Caenorhabditis elegans: one gene and its partner. The protein of the gene in region 1 purifies or fractionates together with the protein of each later gene. This does not show direct contact. Each region holds a gene or a part of one and is shown on either strand. Other genes may lie near its edges.

The links.
Region 2: the proteins of C49F8.15 (region 1) and pals-15 fractionate together in Caenorhabditis elegans (co-fractionation; one large-scale study listed by BioGRID). This does not show direct contact.

What each region holds. Positions count from the first base shown.
Region 1 is NC_003284.9:13,360,580-13,364,775, reverse strand, and holds C49F8.15 (uncharacterized protein), read left to right. Parts: upstream 1-2,189; 5' UTR 2,190-2,278; coding exon 2,279-2,353; intron 2,354-2,396; coding exon 2,397-2,504; intron 2,505-2,901; coding exon 2,902-3,090; intron 3,091-3,242; coding exon 3,243-3,464; 3' UTR 3,465-3,575; downstream 3,576-4,196. Other genes in the region: C49F8.1 (Miff domain-containing protein), read left to right, coding at 1-8, 591-674, 991-1,036.
Region 2 is NC_003279.8:13,141,487-13,145,438, reverse strand, and holds pals-15 (DUF4200 domain-containing protein), read right to left. Parts: upstream 2,245-3,952; 5' UTR 2,239-2,244; coding exon 2,170-2,238; intron 2,058-2,169; coding exon 1,866-2,057; intron 1,738-1,865; coding exon 1,381-1,737; intron 1,298-1,380; coding exon 851-1,297; 3' UTR 816-850; downstream 1-815. Other genes in the region: pals-14 (Protein containing ALS2cr12 (ALS2CR12) signature), read right to left, coding at 3,650-3,889.

The DNA of each region.
Region 1 (4,196 bases):
GGACCAATGTGAGTCTCATTTTCAGATTTAAAAATTTGTGTCAAAACATAAATGCGTAAATCGACAGTTGAACTGTAAATTCTGTAAATTAAGCGTTTTATGTATGTAATAGTTTTTCTATGAAAACCAGTGGCACCGCTCACTTTGCATTCATTTTGAAAATAATTTGTATGTATACTTCTGAAAAATCATGTTTAAAAAAATCAAAGTTCATATTTCTAAAAATTGCATTTTTCAAAACACATTAAAAACGTATCCATTAAATAAAAATATCAACTTTTAAGGAGCGCGCGTGGCAAGACCATTTTGTAGAAATGTGATCTTGTTGAAATTACTAAAAAAACAAAATAGAACACACATGGCATGACTCCGTTTCGAAAAAAAATTGTACTCAAACGCAGGGTTAAAGGATTTTAATCATCGATTGTCCCCATTCTATAACTTATTTAAACACTCTATTTCGAATATCAACCTCAAAAATCAAACCCAACACCTGTATAAACAATCGCACTTCTTGACAAGCTTAGTATTCTGAAATCATGTTCCAAAAACCTCAGATTATGCGCATATACGTAGTATTCAAGTTTCAGGCTCTCCACACAATTGGCGACGCCAACAATGAAAAAACGGGACCAAAATCAAAATACACACAGAGATGACGAGAAGAAAGAAAAGTGGGGTTTTTTAAATTGTTTAATTCAAGTTCAATAAGGGTCAGACTTGAAAAATATGTTGATATATTTTTTGTCCCTTCAAAAAAACTGTGATTTGTGAAGCTTTTCGAAACAAAAGCTTTGTGAAAATTTCCCACACTTTTTTCTCAATTTTCTTCGCGTTTTGGTGATGATTTTGGTTCAAAAGATTTTGAAACAAAAAGTATGCCTTTTGTATTTTTCCAGTAAACAAGTTTTTTATTTTTATTTTTAAGTAGCCCCGTAGAATTTTTTCAACTTTTCTATCATTAATCAATAAAGAAATCATAAATTTCAGTAATGCTACCGAGGCAGGAGAACCATCTGCCAAAAAAAGATGTTAGTTATCTGAATCTTCTCCAATATGCACAAACGTCCAACTTCCAAAGTTCTCAGCTAAATAAACTGCATTTTCATATTTCACCTTTGACTTTATAGCTCCGTTTTTTTTTCAATTCCCACACCTCCTGGTAGTATTTTCAAAATCTGGTAGATTTTCTGGTTCAGATGCTTTTGTCCTTCATTTCCAAAGATATTAGTTAGATGCTCTTTAACAATGTTTTAAAAACTGTAAATGTTACTACATCACTTCACGAGTTCTACATACTTTTCCTGTTCCCGATTTCTCAAAGAATTGTTTTTCTCATCGACATATTAATGCGAATACCGGTCTAATTATATTTGGTAGATTTTTCGTTGTCCCAGTACATTGTTTCTCACGTCGTGTCAAAAAAAAAATGAACAGTTTTTTTTAAATTGTAGTTGACAATTTCAAAACAAAATTTGCAGATTATGTACAATGTATTTTACCTGCTTTGGTTTTGACAAATGTTATACACTTCTGGTGAATTTACAATTTGAAACGCAGTAGAATAATACAGCAAATTAACATTGGAAGAGTATGCTCATTGAAAATATTTAAACATATCTCTTTTAAATTGTCGACAACAACATCTTGAAAATATGAATTTCAATGCATATTTAGTGCAATCCATTTTCAGTTTTCTATTTTATTTCTCAAAAATTCATTTTTTCTAGTTGCTTTGCTTACTGAATTTTTGCTATTAAATCTGTCCCGCATAAAAAATCGCAAGAATGTTCGAGATTTGCTAAATATCAAAAAACCAAATAATCAAGTGAAACAATGACCATTGTAATTGAAATTTTGCGGACTGATTGAGAATGACGTTTATCAAACTCATTGTTTGCAACATAAGACTACATTCACCAGGTGGAATATGAAAGGAACAGACCCTGAACTTTTTGCTCAATTGCCACAAACCACTGTTTCCTACCGGCAGACGAAGGGGACAGACTCAAACAAAATCCGTCTTGTTCTGTTTTCTGTTAAGCGACTTAAGACAGGTAAGCGCCTCTGACCACTTGCTCCCGAACAACAATCAACAAATGCGGTTGTTTGTCTTAACAGGAAGTTTGCCAGTATTCAGGCGCGAATATAAAAGGTTGGCAACCGCCTGGCAAGATCAGAGCACTTTTCACAACGAACAACAAAGTCGACTTCTAGCTACGCAGAAGTAACGATATCCAGCAAATATTAATTTTTTTCTGGCTGTAAAATTGCACCAATGTTAAAGTTCGCAGTTTTAGCAGTTTCATACCTGGCTTTTGTTGCGGCCTTCCCAACAAGTAATCAACAACAGGTATGAATATCAGTTTTCTATTTTCAGTTTTTATGATTTGCAGTACACTCAAACCGCCCAGCAATATCCTGCTCAGCAGGAGATCAAGCCATCACAGACGGTTCCTCAATTATCGGCTCACCACGGATATGTATACGGACCTCAACAAGCCGTGAGTGCCAAGAAAAATTACTGTACATTCAAATTGTAAAAAATTATACTTAATACGTAGTGCCTAATTTTTGTGCATTCGAGAAGAGTTAATTAAGATATAGCCTATTCTTAAATAGTTGGTTTAGTTTATTTTTATTTTACTTTTTAATTCGCATATATTTTTATTAACAAACACAAAAATAATAAGATAGTTCTTGCTAGAGGCATGTACACATTCAGCACTCACAATTAGTATAGTTTAGCATTGTTTGTGAACCGGTGCAGAGTGTGATCCTACGGAAGTATTTGAATTCTCAAATTCTTGCTTCATTTTTGACTGAGAACTATTCGAGATGAAAATAAGTTGTTGAGAATAGAAGAATGTTAAATTAAAATTAAAAAATTAAACGTTTCAGATGCCCCAACTTTCACAATATCCTTCTCCATCAACAGCTGCACCTGCTCCAGTTCCGGAGCAACCAACCCTCAATAATTTGCCATTAGAAGTAAAACAAAGTGCACAGACCCTCTTTAACGATCCTGACTTTCAAATGCTGGCCAGAAGCCTTCAGTCTGGAACTGGAAGCAGTGGATACAGTAATCCGGTTAGTTGCTTTAAAAATTAATTTAATAAAAAAAATCTACCCTGAAAAATCTACTTAAGTAATAGCTTCAGAGTGTCAAAAACGTTCGAATATTACCCTGACAATCTTTAATCGTAGAATGAACAATTAAATTATTTTCAAACTGATTTCAGCTATCCGCCCGCGACATTCCTCCGTGCTCTTCCGACGGCCGCTCTGTGACCATCGATCATCTCAGAATCTCTCCAGAATCACTTGTCCAAATTGCTCGTCTTGCTCAAGCGTTCGGAACGAACCCAGATTGGAAAAAGTTGCGTTTGGCTGACATGAAATCTGCATTGGGGACGCCAATGCATTCCACCCATCAGTATGCTGCACGATCTATTGGTCTCTAAATTGAAAAAGTAACATTATTTTATTTATGTATATATTCAACAATTTAAGTTATCTAACTTATTTCATTTTCATGTGTTTCTACTTTTCAAGGTATAAATACATATATCCTTATTTGCTTTTTCTGGAGAAACAAAACCATTACCAGTTTCCATTAGCTTAATAATTTACTAAATTAACTTTCAATTAAATGAGTTAGGATATACTGGTCGTCTTTGTTTTAGGAGAATACTTTAAACATACAATTCCAAAAAACTAGTGGTTTATATCTAAACATGAACCCGTAGCCCATTGAGTGAAGATTACAAAAAATTGAGAAAAATGTTCCCTTTTCTTTGAAAATACCTAGTGAAATGCATTCCTAAATTCAAACCTTAAATCACAAATCATCGTAATATTTCCGCTCTCTAGAGTGCACAATGTGATTGATAAAATATGGTCACACCAAAAATGTGCAGTGTTTGCTGATAAACCATGCTGGAACAAGTAGACTATGCGACTTCGTAATCGTCATAACGGTTGATGTCTAGCATAGTTTACCGGGTGAAAGTACATTAAATGAGAAGGAAAAATGTCATAGGTTTGGCTGGGCAAAGGGCGAACCTTGATATTGTGTTCGTGTTCGTTTTGTATGATTGGAGTAAGCATGCAATGTAAAAAATTAAATAACATTCTTTATATAATTGGAACTCTTTTGTTATAGTGGTCGATATCTAAAATGTAGTATTACGAAT
Region 2 (3,952 bases), on another chromosome or scaffold:
GGTTTCTTCTCGCTGAAAAAAAAACACGTTTGACAAACAGATGTTCGACAGCAGGGACAAGCAAATTCTGAAGATTTTCTTACAGCGCCAGACACCTGACGGGTCAGTTTTTAACATCAAATCAGAAATCAGATTATGAATTTTTAGTTTTAGAGCTCAAGAAAGTTTTGCTCTTTTTTATAGTGGGCAAAAAAAGTCTAACCATTTCACAAAGAGCCTTTTCAAGTCGTTCTTCAGCTGTGCGCAATTCGTTTTTCTTATTGATTAATTCACGGTTTATTGAAATTTTCTTGTCACACAACTCATTTATCCGATTTTTCATCCATCGTTCCGTGCGTGATTCGAAAAGTTTTATGATAATGTCTTTGTAATTTGATTTTTCTATTTGCATCATTCCCTTTTCTTCGTGTGAATGTGGCCTGTTTTCCTACAATATTGAAAATTAGACAGAAACATACACTCAAGCTCACCGTCTTTTTGAAATTTTCCAAATACTGGTTGAATACCTGCTTGAATTCTTCTAGCATTATTACCTGTAAAAATTAAGCGTCTGCCAAGGGTTTTAAAAAATTATTAAATTTCAGAAAATGTAAATAAATAATGGGCAATTGTTATCAGTTCCTTTTGCTTTCGTCATTCTTTTTCTTATCAGACTCTGAAATGGCACGCGATCAAATAACTTATAGCAATAATTTTCCACACATGGCATATGCATGTTTTGCATATACATAGCTTTTTACATATCAATTACAAAAAATAATTTCATTATAATGACTATACTTTATCTATTTCCAAACATGCTAAATCAAACCAAGATTTATTGGTGCTCATTCGATGCTATAATGGGATGCTACAAAATATTAGCCTTGAGAAAAACATATCGATAGAAATGAAAAGTGGAAAAAATTAACAAAATGTAGAGGAACATGTCTATTGATAGAAGTTTCCACACTGGCACTCTCCTTCTTATGTTATTAAACGCGAAGTGCTCGCTGTCATTGATCACGTTAGCAGCATGATTTTTCCGTTCAATTTCCACCAGAAAGTCTAGAAGTGCTATTAAAACCTCTATTCTTCTCCTGAAGACTTGCAAAGTTTTAAACGATATTTTTTCATTTTCAAAGGAGTCCACAAATGTGTTCATGCAATTTCGAGCATCGGCTATTTCACTGAAAATCTCTACTGCAACGTTTTTGTTGATTTTGTCTTCTATGCAGTTAATCCCCTGGAGTTTTGAAATGTCTTCAGATGCTTCCGCCAATTTATAAAATTCATTCTTCACACCACTCAATGCAATCTGAAATTTGGTACTTCTGAATTTTTAATGATCATTAAATTCCAAAAAATTTCAAAAAATTCCAAAAACTCCAAAAATATTACCTGACGATTTGCAATGGTTTTCGAATCTTCTCCAGCTTTATTTTGCACCAATTCAATTAAACACACCACTGCAGTTAATAACGATGAGCCCGCTCTCTTCGCGTTTTGAACGACATCATTAAAGTGTTTTTCAAGTTTATCGTTTCTCTTAGCCTCCGCTAACTTCCCTTTCTTCATTTCAGATTCCAAATTGATCCTGTCACGTTCAGCTTGATGTTCCAGCTGCAGTCTTCGATTATCCAGTTCGGTTGAGCAACTCATTCTTAACATTGTTTCTTGGTGTTTTACATTTGCGGCGTGTTTTTCCAATCCCTGGCGTTTAAGTTCGGATAGGTATGCCTCCTCGGATTGATTTCTCTGAAAATTATTTATCTTAATCGTTGGAGTAAGGGTTGGAAATTCAACTTGGAATCTAAGTTTCGAACGTTTGAAAACGATAAATTCGAGGCAAAAACCCTCAAAATGACATTTTAACTATAACTAACCATATTTTTTGATTTTTTAATGGAGTTCTCAAGATGTTCCTTCTCTAGGCTGAACCTTTGAAGTGCATATCTTAATGCGCTGCTGTTCGCTTCTTGTTTCTCCAATAGCTTCTTGTGCTGAACATTTCTCAAAATTTTCTTTTGTTCTTCGTAATATTTTTCAGTTTCTTGTGGGCTCCGTCGTTGGTGTTCCTATAGAATTTTGACTTTACACGGTTGTCGTCAATAGCAATTATCATTTTTTCAATTCATTGAAACGAGTTTTCTGTATTTTTTGGCTTAGAAGAAAAAGGAAATTCCATACCATATTTTTAGTGAATCTGTAATCTTTTAGTGGATAAGTGTTGGCGAAGAAATCCTCGTAAAAACCCATTCTTCTATAACAATCTGGAAAAGGACATATTAGTGCAACCTGAGGTATTTATTATAAATGTTGCATATCAAAGGTGTTGAAGTTCTTATTGGTATAAATGAATTTTTCGTTGATCGTGTTTTATATTTGTTGATTTACAAATAACTGTTTTCCAGTGCGGTATTGAAAAATTCCTTACAGAGGGATTATATTAAAATATTTAATAGGATACTTTCAATGAGTAAAAAACCTGACTAAAACCAAAAGTTATTGTAATAAAATTAAGGATGTGTAGAAAATAAGCAATGAAATGAAATATCGATCGATAAGAAACCATGCATATACATGAGAAGTAAGACGTTTAAGTGATGAAAATTCATTTTTATTCCTTATAGTGTGTTTAAACCATAGTTCCGTATATTATAACCCATTTATTGCTTATTGTGTTTACAATGTATGATAAAATTTATGTGCTCTTCCTAATTGTAAGTGTAACTTTTGATATAAACAACTGTTATCATCAATTCACTCTATTTCAGAATTCATGCAATTGCTTTTTTAGCTTTCAAATCAGGAGTTTGCAAATTATCTCTGAAAAAAAAAATCCGAAGCAATAATTAATTTCTGTTAGTAGAGAAAATGGGACGAAAAATTGTACTTTAAATATGATTTTTCTGGTCGGAGAGCGAATTTTTCTAGTTTAAAGTGCTCATCTGTCACTATTTTTGTGTATGGTTATTTGAAATGTCTTCTAAATTAGAATTAGTTGTTCAAAAAAGTAAGCCCAAGTTCTTTGTTTGGCCTCATATTTTTTCAGCCCTACATTAATTTTCCAAACTTTGAAAATTAATGTCTGGCTTCAAACTAACTTTTTCAAAAATCCCTGTAGCCATTTTGTTGCAAATTATGTGTTCTTCCAGAATTTGAAAACGACATTCCAAAAACTTCTACATATGACCGCCAAGTTCAAGCAGAAAAAGTGAATTTCCGAGCACATTTAGAGACAAAATGGAATAGACAATTTTTATGCAAAATTAGTAGATTTTCAAAACTTGAAAATAAATATATGACTTCACACTAAATATCGTTTCAATAAATTTTTGAATTTTTGTTTGGCGGGTCTCGGCACGCTCGGTGTGTACGGTTACTTTTGTTTCACGTATGTCAATTGGATTTATATCAGATAGTCATTGGACAATGTTGATTTCCACGGTGGAAAGTTCGCGGATTATCGATATTGTAGAGTATTGCAGAAATGATTTTGTGACAGTAATAGATTAAAAAAACAATCGGATCGACTTTTCGAACTCAATAACAAGTCAATACAAAACTGAGTATTTTATATTCCAAGAAAAGGAAGAGTCGAAGTTTACTTTCAACTAGAAACCAGCTGAGCAAGTACATAGTTACCAAGACAATTATTAATGTTCAATTAGTTCCCAATCGCATTTGTCGAAGCACTCGCAGACGAAGTACTAATTCTTCTCCATTTAATTGAATTACTCTCAGTTTCTTCACGGATAGCAACCATATCACGAGTCAAATTATCGATCTTTTCCAAAATTCCACTGATACGGCCGTGATCCTGTTTTGCTGCAAGACGTGGCAACGTTGAACACACTAAACGGATGTCGCTCGACTCCATGCATCGTTTCATTTTATTTGCCATTTCCTAAATTGGAAACATTTAAAATATCGTTAATTTGTCCAATGGTTACGCATTTGGATTAGAAAG